Pelodiscus sinensis: one gene and its partner. The protein of the gene in region 2 purifies or fractionates together with the protein of the main gene of each other region. This does not show direct contact. Links are inferred from orthologs where the notes say so. Each region holds a gene or a part of one and is shown on either strand. Other genes may lie near its edges.

Region 1 (7,111 bases), on a different chromosome or scaffold from region 2:
CTCTTGGGGCTAACCTGACTGCTCCTTCCACAAGTTCTCACATCTCTTCGGCTGCTTTCCTAGCTCAAGTCCCTATTCAAGGTATCTGCTGGGCAGCAACCTAGTCCTCCATGCACACATTCTCAGTGTACTGTGCCTGTTCCCAGTCAGCCATAGCCGATGCCAGCTTTGGCTGTACAGTGTTGCAGTCGCCTTGTCCTTGAACTCAGAGCCAACCTCCTGCACAACTGCTTGCGCGTCCTTTCATTGGAACAGACATGTGTAAGCACTCAAAGAAAACTGTTACTAATCTTTCTGTAACTGTTGTTTGAGATGTTGCACGTGTCCATTCCTTATACCAATGCTACGAGCATCCAGCAACCCGGCTGATAATAGTGCTAGAGCCAACCCGACCGATTCCACTAAGGGGGAAAATCCAGCAGCTATGCTTGGGGCTGCTCACTCCTACATTGGAATGGATGGATGCAACTCCTCTTGAGGAACAACAGTTATTGGAAGGTTAGTAGCTGTTTTTCACAATGTGACACACTTGACAGTCCTTATATGGGAGGCTAGAACAGCCACTGGAAATGAGATTGAGGGTTGGAATGCTTTTACAGAGCTGCTAGCCTCTTGAGCTTCTTCCACTTCCTTAAGGACTAGATTACTAAGAATCTTGGGGCTGGGTTTTTTTGTCACTTACATCAGTCTTTTCTTTAAATGACCTTATTTGCTTGATTTTTTTTTTTTTTTCCCCCCCTAGGAGTGAAATGCGAACAGTGGTCAGAAGATGCATCCATAGTGTTTCGAAACCATGTAGAGAAGAAACCACTGGTGGCACTGGTACAAGCAGTTAATGAAAGCACAAACTCTTGGGATCGAAAAATAGTGACCTACTTAGTAGACACCTCACTGCCAGAGACTGATATATGGATTCATGACTTTATGTCTCAATATTTTGTGGAGCTTTCAAAGGTTAATTAATCACTGTTTCTGAAACTATTGCAACTAATTCAGTTTCTTCAGCAATAAAAGAAAATGTATCAGGCTTTTAAAGAGAAATTTAACTGTTCTTACATGGCCTTGAATATATGAATGTGAGGTTTGAAAAATCTGATGCTAGTAGACTGTGAAAAGAGATTTAACAAGTTTCTGTTTTCTTTTAATTGACTTTCCAAGAACTTGCACTTTGTTTACTGGTGAGGTGTTAGAATGTTGGAGTGAAAATACAGATTAAGTAAAATTGTATTTATCAATAAAATTATTGGTGGCTTTTGTCTTATTTTATTGCTGAATTCTTTTTTCGTTCTTAAAGTTACTGGAGTTTGAGACTGGTCAAAATTTGAGTTGATTTACAAGTTGCTAATTTCTGCATCACAGTTATTCCCGTGCTTAATGAAAACAAACATCACATCTGAACTGATTCCTTATTTGTTGGTAGTTTCAGAAATATCATATCCCAGAATACAGACTGTAAGAATTGTGCTTGCTTTTGCATAGAGGTGGCAGAAGCATAACCTACGTATATCTTAAACAGATATTCTAGTAGCACCTTAAAAACTAACAGCACATGTGTAGATGGTATGAGTTTTCATGGGCAAAACCCATTTCTTCAGATGACTGGAGTATAAGTCTAGACCCAAGAATAAATAAGGGAAGGGGGGGGGGGAGGAAAAAGGAGAGGGGAGGAAGACAGAGATACAGTGAGTAGATAGTTCAAATGGTTACAAGAGGCTCTTAAGAACCATTAGCACCTCCATTGTTTGGTTGGTGAGGTCATTAAAAGGTGGAAGATAGTGTGCGCATCATCCTCTGTCCGGGTTCAGACCATTGACATGAGAATTAAACTTGTGAATGAAGTTAAGTTCCAATCCTTCTCTGTGTATTTGACTTGTGGAATTGGTCTGAAACAAAACTGCAACTTAGAGATCCATTAATGAGTGTCCAGGAAGATTAAAGTGTTCTCCAACAGGTTTTTGTGTGTTGCCTTTTCAGCTATCTGATGTGTGTCCATCCACCCCTGCAATCTGCTGTGGTGCCCACTCTGCCCACACATCTACACAAGTGATTTCATCACTGGACCCAATGACATCAGCCACCAAATCAGAGGCTCATTTAACTGTACATAGTGTGATCTATGCCATCCAATGCCAGCAATGCCTCACTGCCATGTATATTGGCCAAACTGGACAGTTTCTACGGGAAAGAATTAATGGGCACAAATCAGATATCCGAAAAGGCAACACACAAAAACTGTTGGAGAACTCTTGGGGACAATCAATACGGCATGGGTAGCGCGTGCTGTAAATGGATATGCTGTAGCTACCCAAGAGATTTTGCAGGGAAGATTCACTGTGGGCAGCCAAGGCTGCATCACCTGCAAACAAGAAGTCTCTCAAAACCAGCTTTCTGCTTGAAGTCCTGTGAGGCTGGACAAGCCTCCAGAAAGTCTGCTTCGAAGATCAATGCTGTCCTTGCTGTCCTTGCAGTCATGAAAAAGCAAGAATGAACAGTAGCTGTTAAAGCCCATGCTGGCTAGGATGCACCTGTTTCACCATCTTATATCAGTGGTGGAGCATCCTGAGAAAAAAACACTCTTGAGGTTCAGGATAGACCTAGAAATTGCAGCTCGGGGAGCATAATGCATGTGTTCAATTGCTACTCCCACAGTTGTCAGTCACTTCTCTCCCCCTTGTCTCTGTAATTGTACAAAGCAAGTGTCTTGGAAATCTTGTGGCACCACTTCCTCTTTCCCACGGCTCAGTGCCTTGTTCCCAGCAATGGCTTAATGGCTTTCCAGGGGCTGATTTCTTCTGGCTTGGGCCAATTGCTCGGGCGCTTCCTTCATACATTCCACAGCTGCGAATATCAGAACGCTTCAGCTAAGCCAGCTTTTGCCTTTCTCTTCAGGCCTTGAGATTTCCAGTTTGCTGGTGTTGGAGGGTCTCTTGCAGATGTTAGTGCTGTCCGGCTCTCAACCAGTGAGAGTGGGGTTGCAGTGCTTTTCAAACCGGTCTGCGTATTTCTAGCTCTCTTCCCCACCACCCGGCCCAATGCTGTTACCTCAGCCATAGTGGTGGAGTTGGAAGATAAAACTTCCTTGCGCACTATTCAATGAAGTTGTGAATCTTTGTACATCTTCAGCTGGGCAGGTAGCTTTGCTAGGGTAGTCTGCTGCAGTGGCAATACCCAAAAGATCTGAGGCATGAGCCGTGCGAGTCAGCACTGAGATACGGTCTCTGCCACTGATTTTCTTTTGGATGCCTGAGTTTGGCCAGTGCTAGACCTGATTGGAGTCCATGCCCTGATCTTGGATGTTTCCTTGTAACTTGCCCAACCAAGTGGGGGGTTGGTAACAGAGTTTGGATGTGCCGTGTTCTAACGCTCACTGGCCATTTTCATTCCTTTTGCCAATTCCACGTTTGCCCCAAATACCAGGCCAGTTCCCATCACTCTGTCCAACTCTTGCCTTGAAGTACATCACATGTTATAATGGCCTGTGGCAGAAGCCGCACCACGGCCGCACCTTGCAGCCGTACTGGTCCTTTGCTTGGGGATCCCTATTGCTACCTCCCCCTGCCCCGTTCCTTGTAGGGTTGGACTCTTGTGCCATCACTGCTGCCACTGGGGGCAGGAGCCTTGCCCTGCTGCCAAGGGCAGGAGCCTGTTTGTACCCCAGGTGTTCCAGCTGTTGCCTGGCACTGTATGATTGCAACAGCCACCACCCTTTGGCAGGGCCCTCTGCCCCAGCAGCGTGCCGGAGTCCACTGGGGCTCCGTGGGGGGAGTTACTTTCAGTACTGGGGGAGAGCTGAAGAGAGACCTTTGGGGGATGCAGGCTTTGCTTTTCCCAGTAGCACTGCAGGCGGCAGTGCCCCGGTGCTATTTACGCTGTGGCACGGTGCGGGTGTAAGAGTGTGGGGGTTCAAAGGGTTGGGTTGGATTGGGGGAGCGCGCTGGGGCGGGACGAGGTTTGGGGAGGTGGTGGAGGCAGCGATTGGATGTGCGGGGAAGGGCAGAGGTTGGATCAGGGCTGGGGCGGTGGGGGTAGGGCGGGGGCGTGTTGGGGAACGCCCCGCCCCGCCCCGCTTGAGTGGCAGCCGCGGGCGTCGGAGCCGCCTCCCCGCAGGACGCAGGGCAGCGCATCTCGCCGCCCGGGCAAGACGCGGCCGCAGCAGCCCGTGCGCCCCTGGCCCCGCGCCCCCGCCCGTGCGCCCCGAGCCCCGGTAAGCGCCGCGCCCGCGGCTCCGGCCCCCAGCGCGCCCCGCACCCGGCTCCCCGCGGCCCCAGCCCATATCTGGGCAAAATATTCGGCTGTCAGCGCGCGGGACCGAGCGCTATAAATAGCCCGGCTGGCTGCGCGCAAGGCGCCGGGCAGGGGAGCTGGGCACAGGGGCTGGAACCTGGGGAGTGGGGGCTGGTCCTGCCCGGCCCCATGCTGGGCTGGACTCCACCTGCGCGGACTTGTCCAGGGCCGGGCGGGTGCAGCCCTGCTCCCCCTGGGGCAGGTGACCCGGCTGCCTGCTCCTGCCCCAGTCCCATGCTCCCAGCCCCCTCGCAGCAGAGACTCCCCTGAGCCCCAGAGTGAGTGTGGAGCTGGTGAGCGGTGCTGGGTGTGGGGTAAACTATTACCGGGGTGCCCAGAGGTGCCGGGGCCTCTGTGCGTCAGAACGGCGAAGTATAGCGGTGCCTTCGATGCTCCGTGCACAGGGACTTGGATGAACATTGGCAGCCTCGCCGAATGACCATGAATCTCCCAGAGGCGCTGCCCTTCCTGTCCGTGAGGTGCCTCGCTCGGCTATTTCTGTCCAGCCCAGCTGGGCCTCGGACTGGCTCCCCGCCCTTGATAGAGTCACCGCTCGGGCCTGCTGCTTGTGGCCAGCGTGATGGAGACTCCTCCTTGGGTGCCTCCTCCAGAGAGGCGTTTTGGGGCTGTGGCTCGCGGGCCCGGCCTGGTGCGTTGGCCGGCGGGAGGGGTGTTGTGTTCCCCAGCGCTGGCAGAGAGCAGACTCTCCTTTGTGGCTGGTCTGTGGGGCTTGTCGATCCCAGCATAGATCCATGCTGCTTGGGATCAGGCGCTGGCTTCTGAGTGACTGAGCCGTGTGAGCTGCCCCGCAGGTGTGAGGGCCGATGTCCGGCGTCCATTGGGAAAGGCTCTCCAGAGCATGCCCTCGCAAGCAGTCCCTCCCTTCTGTCGGGAGGCTCCCAGGGCCTGTCACTTGGTCTGTCTTGCAGTGATTGGCCCGTGGCTTTGGCCCACACGCTCAGTCTCTCAGCAGCTTTTCCTCGGTCAGCCCCGGGTTTCGGTTGCGATTTCATCCCGCTTCCCTTATGTCCGCCTTGGGCCAGCCCAACTCTTCCCCTGCTTCCCCCGCCCCAGCGGCTGCCCCGTCGGGCAGTGGGCCAGTGTGGCACGCAGGTCCCTACCGGGCTGGCTGCCATGCCGCTGGCACTGCTTGCTAATTACACCCACCCCCGCTAGGCTCTGAGCTGGCAAAGCCCCTAACGCTGACCCTAAGGACGTTTCTAGCACCCTGGGAATGCTCGCGCGCTCTCCAGCCTGCTTCCGCTGAGCTCCATGGCGATTTGAATCGCCCGCTAGTCCCCGAGTTACTGCCCTCTGGCCAGTGCTGGGATCCGAGGGCCCCTGGCGGCATGGCTCAGTGTCACGGGAAGGGCTCTCGGTGCCCCTCGGGGCCTGCTGCCCAAAGCTGCCTTTCCCAGCAGGGTTCCATGGCCGACTCGTACCTCGCTCTCCGCTGCATTTCTGCTCCCCCCAGGGCTGCCCCCCCAGGGCGTCTCTGTTTCCGCTTTCTCCCCCAACCCTGCCCTGTTCCGCGTTGAGTCGGTTTCCCTTTTCCTGCTCAGCATTTACATACCCTGGCTGTTTGTGTGGTTAGTCCCCATCCCACCCCGCTGGCAGCACCTCCTAGCCTCGTACCTGTCTGTCACGAAGATAACGAAGCATGCGGCACGTCTGTGGGGGTGTTTGGAGGCAGGCCGTACCATCCCATAGGGCAGGGGTGGGGGCCTCAGGCCCGGGGGCCGGATCCAGCCCCCAAGGCCCTGGGCTCCCTCCCCTGCATTGGGGAGCTGGTGCTGGCCCTGCAGCCCCCACCCCTGCAGTCTTGCCCCAAAGGGCTGGAGCCCCAACACTGTCTCCATGCTGTGGGGGGAAGCCCCGAGCCTCACGGGCCAGCCAGGCAAGCTGGAACCGGATCCAGCCCATGGGTGGAGGGAGGAAATGGCTCCTGTGCCCTACTTCCTATCCCCAGGCTGCCCCAGCACCCTGTTGCCCTCGCAGAGCCACCAACCCCAAACCCGCTCCGGCACCCTCCCTCCAGACCCCAAGCCTTCCCCACACTGAACCCCTCCTTTGTGGCCCCCGCCGAAAGCCTGGGTTCCCCCAGCTCTGGTGTGCGAAGGAAATGTGAGGAGCGTCACCTGATCTTTCTGTGGGTCAGCAGCCCTTCCCCAGAAAGGTTCCCCAGCCCTTATAAAGTGACGCGTTGTGGTTTATTACCCGTTGGTTCTCGTGCACTTGTTCTGGTCGGTTTCCCAGTAGTGGGATGGAAGGCCGTTTGAATTCATGTTCCAGGGTAGGTGTGGTGACGCGTTGCATTGCAATCTCTGTATTCGCTGCTCTTTCCCCAAAAGCAATTCTTTGTGATGTATCGTTGCCGCTCCATTGCCAGCTCACTGTCCAGGATTCCTTTTTCTTCCAAGCACTTGCAGACATTTAATAGGGTCTGAATCCGTATTTCATTTTTATAGTTTGAATTAATGACTTCGCTTAATTAACTGTTAGAGGCCCGTTTTTCTGTTCCGTACAGCAGTTTTATGCTGGGGGAATTCCTTGTTATTTCATTGGTACTGTGCTGGTACAGAAGCAGCATAACAGAATGGAGAATGAGGCCCTGTAGTTAATTACCTACAAGCTATTTTGGTTCAAAGAATTTTAATTTTAGCTCTGCAGTTCACCTGTAATTAGAGCATGTGCTGCCACAGCGCTGTAATCCGCGTGGCTTGTTGGCTGCGGTCAGACCCAGCAGGAGGCGTGTAAGGATCCCAATAATTAACGGTGCCGTCACTTACCCAGCTTCTCTCTCTGCACGGGTATCTTACCCCATTGT
Region 2 (7,028 bases):
GCAGGGCGGGCACGTGGCTCCGCCTGGATCCCAGGGGCCCAGTGAGGCTCCAGGGCGCTGGGGCAGCCCTACCCCCCTGGCCACCCCAGCGGGGCCCGGTGCAGGGACACAGAGCTCCACTAGGTGGGGTCCCTGGAAAAGCTCTGGGGCCCCGAACACCACAGGCCCCCCCAAGCTCCGGCAGGCCCATCGCACCCCCCAGGCGTGTGCCGAGTCTCCCCCGCCAGCCGGGGGCGCTGCGCGGGGCTCAGACACGCACTGCCAAGTGGCTGGAGGGGCTAGAACCGCCCCACCCCCACTCGCCCCCTCCTGCGCACAGACTAGTGTCAGGCCAGGAACACCCCCCCCAGCATGTAGGGCAGGCACCCCACTCCTGCAGAACGGCCCGGCTCCACCCCTCGCTGCATCCCACCTGTGGGGCTGCAAACAGGCCAAAAGGGGGTGTCCCGGCCTGCACCCCCGCATGGAGCCCTCTGCCCCACTCACCCAGTTGACCAGGACGTATTTGGGCAGGGCTGCCTGGGGCTCCTTCACGCTGCAGAAGCCATACATCACCTTCTGGTTCTCAAAGTGGCCAGAGAGCTCCTGCAAGCCGCCTCCTGCCGGGCGGGGAGGAATCACAGGCGCTCAGTGTGTCCCCCCACGGGCGAGGAGGAATCACAGGCGCTCAGTGTGTCCCCCCACGGGCGGGGAGGAATCACAGGCGCTCAGTGTGTCCCCCCACGGGCGGGGAGGAATCACAGGCGCTCAGTGTGTCCCCCCACGGGCGGGGAGGAATCACAGGCGCTCAGTCTGTCCCCCCACGGGCGGGGAGGAATCACAGGCGCTCAGTCTGTCCCCCCACGGGCGGGGAGGAATCACAGGCGCTCAGTGTGTCCCCCCACGGGCGGGGAGGAATCACAGGCGCTCAGTGTGTCCCCCCACGGGCGGGGAGGAATCACAGGCGCTCAGTGTGTCCCCCCACGGGCGGGGAGGAATCACAGGCGCTCAGTGTGTCCCCCCACGGGCGAGGAATCACAGGCGCTCAGTGTGTCCCCCCACGGGCGGGGAGGAATCACAGGCGCTCGGTCTGTCCCCCCACGGGCGGGGAGGAATCACAGGCGCTCGGTCTGTCCCCCCACGGGCGGGGAGGAATCACAGGCGCTCGGTCTGTCCCCCCACGGGCGGGGAGGAATCACAGGCGCTCGGTCTGTCCCCCCACGGGCGGGGAGGAATCACAGGCGCTCGGTCTGTCCCCCCACGGGCGGGGAGGAATCACAGGCGCTCGGTGTGTCCCCCCACGGGCGGGGAGGAATCACAGGCGCTCGGTGTGTCCCCCCACGGGCGGGGAGGAATCACAGGCGCTCGGTCTGTCCCCCCACGGGCAGGGAGGAATCACAGGCGCTCGGTCTGTCCCCCCACGGGCGGGGAGGAATCACAGGCGCTCGGTGTGTCCCCCCACGGGCAGGGAGGAATCACAGGCGCTCGGTGTGTCCCCCCACGGGCAGGGAGGAATCACAGGCGCTCGGTGTGTCCCCCCACGGGCAGGGAGGAATCACAGGCGCTCGGTCTGTCCCCCCACGGGCAGGGAGGAATCACAGGCGCTCAGTGTGTCCCCCCACGGGCGGGGAGGAATCACAGGCGCTCAGTGTGTCCCCCCACGGGCGGGGAGGAATCACAGGCGCTCAGTGTGTCCCCCCACGGGCGGGGAGGAATCACAGGCGCTCGGTCTGTCCCCCCACGGGCGGGGAGGAATCACAGGCGCTCGGTCTGTCCCCCCACGGGCGGGGAGGAATCACAGGCGCTCGGTCTGTCCCCCCACGGGCGGGGAGGAATCACAGGCGCTCGGTCTGTCCCCCCACGGGCGGGGAGGAATCACAGGCGCTCGGTCTGTCCCCCCACGGGCGGGGAGGAATCACAGGCGCTCGGTGTGTCCCCCCACGGGCGGGGAGGAATCACAGGCGCTCGGTGTGTCCCCCCACGGGCAGGGAGGAATCACAGGCGCTCGGTCTGTCCCCCCACGGGCGGGGAGGAATCACAGGCGCTCGGTGTGTCCCCCCATGGGCAGGGAGGAATCACAGGCGCTCGGTGTGTCCCCCCACGGGCAGGGAGGAATCACAGGCGCTCAGTGTGTCCCCCCACGGGCAGGGAGGAATCACAGGCGCTCGGTCTGTCCCCCCACAGGCGGGGAGGAATCACAGGCGCTCGGTGTGTCCCCCCACGGGCAGGGAGGAATCACAGGCGCTCGGTGTGTCCCCCCACAGGCAGGGAGGAATCACAGGCGCTCGGTGTGTCCCCCCACGGGCGGGGAGGAATCACAGGCGCTCGGTGTGTCCCCCCACGGGTGGGGAGGAATCACAGGCGCTCAGTGTGTCCCCCCACGGGCGGGGAGGAATCACAGGCGCTCAGTCTGTCCCCCCACGGGCGGGGAGGAATCACAGGCGCTCAGTGTGTCCCCCCACAGGCAGGGAGGAATCACAGGCGCTCGGTGTGTCCCCCCACGGGCGGGGAGGAATCACAGGCACTCGGTGTGTCCCCCCACGGGCAGGGAGGAATCACAGGCGCTCAGTGTGTCCCCCCACGGGCAGGGAGGAATCACAGGCGCTCAGTGTGTCCCCCTACGGGCGGGGAGGAATCACAGGCACTCGGTGTGTCCCCCCACGGGCGGGGAGGAATCACAGGCACTCGGTGTGTCCCCCCACGGGCGGGGAGGAATCACAGGCGCTCAGTGTGTCCCCCTACGGGCGGGGAGGAATCACAGGCACTCGGTGTGTCCCCCCACGGGCGGGGAGGAATCACAGGCGCTCAGTGTGTCCCCCTACGGGCGGGGAGGAATCACAGGCGCTCGGTCTGTCCCCCCATGGGTGGGGAAGTATCCACAGGCTGGCTGTCCTCCCCCCAGGTGGCAAGTGCTTTGGGGAGGGGTGTTTAGGCTCTCTAGCCCCCCTTGGCAGGAGGCCCAGGGCAGGGGACCCCTTACCTCCCGACGCAGCCAGCTTCAGGTCATCAGAGTCATCCTCGTAGGTGTACAGAGCCCTGCGGGAGGAGAGCCTGTGAGGGGCACAGCAGCGCTCCACTGCAGCCTGCACCCCACCAGCAGGGGGCGGCCTCGCGCCATGCACAGTGCACCTGCTGCAGGAGCTGGGGTGGGCCGGACCCCCCCATAGCAAGGGGGGCCAGCAGGGGGCGGGCGGCTGGACTCTACACTGGGCACTCCAGCTACAATGCGAAGTCCCTCCCTGGGGCAGTGGTGTGTGGGCCTGGGGGCTGTCAGCGTGGGCCTCTCCTCTCCCTCCACAGCGGGGCCAGCGGGAGCAGGGCGGCGCCCGAGGCCCAGGGAGAAACCCCCCCTGGCTGCGCCCAGTGAAAGGCGACGGAATCCCAGTGCCTGGCGCCCACTGGGTGAGCAGGGAGCCTGGGGGAGGGCGGCAGGGACTGGCAGCGGGAGGGGGAAATGGGTCCCAGCCCCCCGCCCTAGCTGCCAAGCAGGCCCTTTTCGCCAGCCCCCCAGGCAGCGTGCTGGCAGCTCCCCTACGAGCTGGGGGGGACCAGGCTTCACCCCTCTGGGGCCAGTCAGCAGCTGTCAGGCGGGCCCGTGGGCCTGGGGCAGCAGCCCCCCCCAGGCCGGAGCTGCTCACGTTCCCGGCTGCGTGAGCCCCTGGCAGGGAGCAGCAGCAAATCAATGAGCCATCAGGGTGCGATGGGGACTCCATGGAGACGGTTCCTTGGATACCGGCCCCTCTCCAGGCTGGGCTTGGCACGGCCCCCGCCCCCTGCCCCCCGTGTGTCCCCTGCCCCCCACAGCGGCCCCTCCTCAAAGGTGGGGGTGGGCAGCCGGCAGAGTCGGTCCAGGGCTGGTGGGCGAAGGCAGGGAAATTTCAGCTTATCTAGGCAACCAGCATCCTGTCTCCATGGCAACCACCCAGCTCTCCAGCTGGGATGGAACTCACAAGAGGAGGTGATTAGTGGGGAAGTGGGGGGGGGGGGGCGCTGGTCTCTGGCAGGGGCACTAGCTGCAGCACATCCCCCCTGTGCCCCCCCTGTGCCCCCCCCCCCCGACACAGACCACTCCCCACTGCGGACTGCCCCACCCGGGCCTCCCCCCCACCCCCAGGCTATCTGCATTTCCCCATCCCAGGCCCCGAGGGCTTGCTGCTTGGTGAAGCCGGGGCATTTGCTGACTCACCACATTCCCAGTCTGATGAGCTGTGAGCCCTCCGCCCCCCAGCCTGCCCTGTCCCATGTGGGGCGGAGGGCCGCATGGGTGCAGTGGCAGGAGGGGGAATCATGCGCCCTGGCCCCAGGCAGTCTCCAGCAGGCGTCTGTCACCCCTCCCTGGGGGCCCCAAGGAAGGACTGCCACATCCCGCCCCCTCCCACCCTGCCCCTTGCTCTGCCTGGCTCCCAGCCCCCTTTCACACACCAAACCCAAAGCCAGACATGCTCCCCTTCCCACAGGAGACTGGCCCCCCCGCCGTGAGACACAGAGAAGGACACCAGGGAGGCGAGTGCTAACCCGCTGGATCGCAGCCCAGGGCACCGCTGCAACTCACCAGAACAGAGGGGAGTCCCGAAGGGCAGCGCCCCAAGACACCGTCCTGCTCAGCAGTGGGGAGCCCCCGGGGACCTGCGCCCCACAGGCCCCAGTGGAGCGGGTCCAGCCTGGACCTGCACAGACCCCAGCACCGGGCGCTGCCCATCTCCCGGCAATGCCCCGAGGCTCTGCCAGTGCCAGGCAGCACCCTGTGCAGGGAACAAGCCCTCATTTCCCCACCCCCACCCCAGCCCCCCCAGTGCACAGGGCAGACTGGGGCTAGAGATGCCCATGGGAAGCGTGAGGGCCCTGCCGGGGGGCAGGCTGAGGCTGCAGGTGCCCACGGGAAGCGTGAGGGCCCTGCCGGGGGGCAGGCTGGGGCTGCAGGTGCCCAGGGGAAGCGTGAGGGCCCTGCCGGGGGGGCAGGCTGGGGCTGCAGGTGCCCACGGGAAGCGTGAGGGCCCTGCCGGGGGGCAGGCTGGGGCTGCAGGTGCCCACGGGAAGCGTGAGGGCCCTGCCGGGGGGCAGGCTGGGGCTGCAGGTGCCCACGGGAAGCGTGAGGGCCCTGCCGGGGGGCAGGCTGGGGCTGCAGGTGCCCAGGGGAAGCGTGAGGGCCCTGCCGGGGGGGCAGGCTGGGGCTGCAGGTGCCCACGGGAAGCGTGAGGGCCCTGCCGGGGGGCAGGCTGGGGCTGCAGGTGCCCAGGGGAAGCGTGAGGGCCCTGCCGGGGGGGCAGGCTGGGGCTGCAGGTGCCCACGGGAAGCGTGAGGGCCCTGCCGTGGGGCAGGCTGGGGCTGCAGGTGCCCACGGGAAGCGTGAGGGCCCTGCCGGGGGGCAGGCTGGGGCTGCAGGTGCCCACGGGAAGCGTGAGGGCCCTGCCGTGGGGCAGGCTGGGGCTGCAGGTGCCCACGGGAAGCGTGAGGGCCCTGCCGGGGGGCAGGCTGGGGCTGCAGGTGCCCACGGGAAGCGTGAGGGCCCTGCCGGGGGGCAGGCTGGGGCTGCAGGTGCCCAGGGGAAGCGTGAGGGCCCTGCCGGGGGGCAGGCTGGGGCTAGAGATGCCCATGGGAAGCGTGAGGGCCCTGCCGGGGGGCAGGCTGGGGCTGCAGGTGCCCACGGGAAGCGTGAGGGCCCTGCCGGGGGGCAGGCTGGGGCTAGAGATGCCCACGGGAAGCGTGAGGGCCCTGACGTGGGGCAGGCTGGGGCTGCAGGTGCCCAGGGGAAGCGTGAGGGCCCTGCCGGGGGGCAGGCTGGGGCTAGAGATGCCCACGGGAAGCGTGAGGGCCCTGCCGGGGGGCAGGCTGGGGCTGCAGGTGCCCACGGGAAGCGTGAGGGCCCTGCCGGGGGGCAGGCTGGGGCTAGAGATGCCCATGGGAAGCGTGAGGGCCCTGCCGGGGGGCAGGCTGGGGCTGCAGGTGCCCACGGGAAGCGTGAGGGCCCTGCCGGGGGGCAGGCTGGGGCTAGAGATGCCCACGGGAAGCGTGAGGGCCCTGCCGGGGGGCAGGCTGGGGCTAGAGATGCCCATGGGAAGCGTGAGGGCCCTGCCGGGGGGCAGGCTGGGGCTAGAGATGCCCACGGGAAGCGTGAGGGCCCTGCCGTGGGGCAGGCTGGGGCTGCAGGTGCCCATGGGAAGCGTGAGGGCCCTGCCGTGGGGCAGGCTGGGGCTGCAGGTGCCCACGGGAAGCGTGAGGGCCCTGCCGGGGGGCAGGCTGGGGCTAGAGATGCCCACGGGAAGCGTGAGGGCCCTGCCGGGGGGCAGGCTGGGGCTGCAGGTGCCCACGGGAAGCGTGAGGGCCCTGCCGGGGGGCAGGCTGGGGCTGCAGGTGCCCACGGGAAGCGTGAGGGCCCTGCCGGGGGGCAGGCTGGGGCTAGAGATGCCCACGGGAAGCGTGAGGGCCCTGCCGTGGGGCAGGCTGGGGCTGCAGGTGCCCACGGGAAGCGTGAGGGCCCTGCCGTGGGGCAGGCTGGGGCTGCAGGTGCCCACGGGAAGCGTGAGGGCCCTGCCGGGGGGCAGGCTGGGGCTGCAGGTGCCCACGGGAAGCGTGAGGGCCCTGCCGGGGGGCAGGCTGGGGCTGCAGGTGCCCACGGGAAGCGTGAGGGCCCTGCCGGGGGGCAGGCTGGGGCTGCAGGTGCCCAGGGGAAGCGTGAGGGCCCTGCCGGGGGGCAGGCTGGGGCTGCAGGTGCCCACGGGAAGCGTGAGGGCCCTGCCGGGGGGCAGGCTGGGGCTGCAGGTGCCCACGGGAAGCGTGAGGGCCCTGCCGGGGGGCAGGCTGGGGCTAGAGATGCCCACGGGAAGCGTGAGGGCCCTGCCGGGGGGCAGGCTGGGGCTGCAGGTGCCCACGGGAAGCGTGAGGGCCCTGCCGGGGGGCAGGCTGGGGCTGCAGGTGCCCACGGGAAGCGTGAGGGCCCTGCCGGGGGGCAGGCTGGGGCTGCAGGTGCCCACGGGAAGCGTGAGGGCCCTGCCGGGGGGCAGGCTGGGGCTGCAGGTGCCCACGGGAAGCGTGAGGGCCCTGCCGTGGGG

Evidence for each region.
Region 1: the proteins of DBN1 (region 2) and TMOD1 purify together in Homo sapiens (co-immunoprecipitation; 3 studies listed by BioGRID and IntAct, with this or other methods). This does not show direct contact. The link is inferred for Pelodiscus sinensis from reciprocal best matches to the Homo sapiens genes DBN1 and TMOD1.

What each region holds. Positions count from the first base shown.
Region 1 is NC_134716.1:398,685-405,795, reverse strand, and holds the start of TMOD1 (tropomodulin-1), read left to right. Parts: upstream 1-4,047; 5' UTR 4,048-4,204; intron 4,205-4,356; exon of another isoform or gene 4,357-4,577; intron 4,578-7,111. Other genes in the region: TDRD7 (tudor domain-containing protein 7), read left to right, coding at 743-963. UniProt on the Homo sapiens protein: Blocks the elongation and depolymerization of the actin filaments at the pointed end. The Tmod/TM complex contributes to the formation of the short actin protofilament, which in turn defines the geometry of the membrane skeleton.
Region 2 is NW_027465882.1:1,771-8,798, reverse strand, and holds the start of DBN1 (drebrin), read right to left. Parts: upstream 3,016-7,028; 5' UTR 2,960-3,015; intron 600-2,959; 5' UTR 553-599; coding exon 487-552; intron 1-486. UniProt on the Homo sapiens protein: Actin cytoskeleton-organizing protein that plays a role in the formation of cell projections. Required for actin polymerization at immunological synapses (IS) and for the recruitment of the chemokine receptor CXCR4 to IS.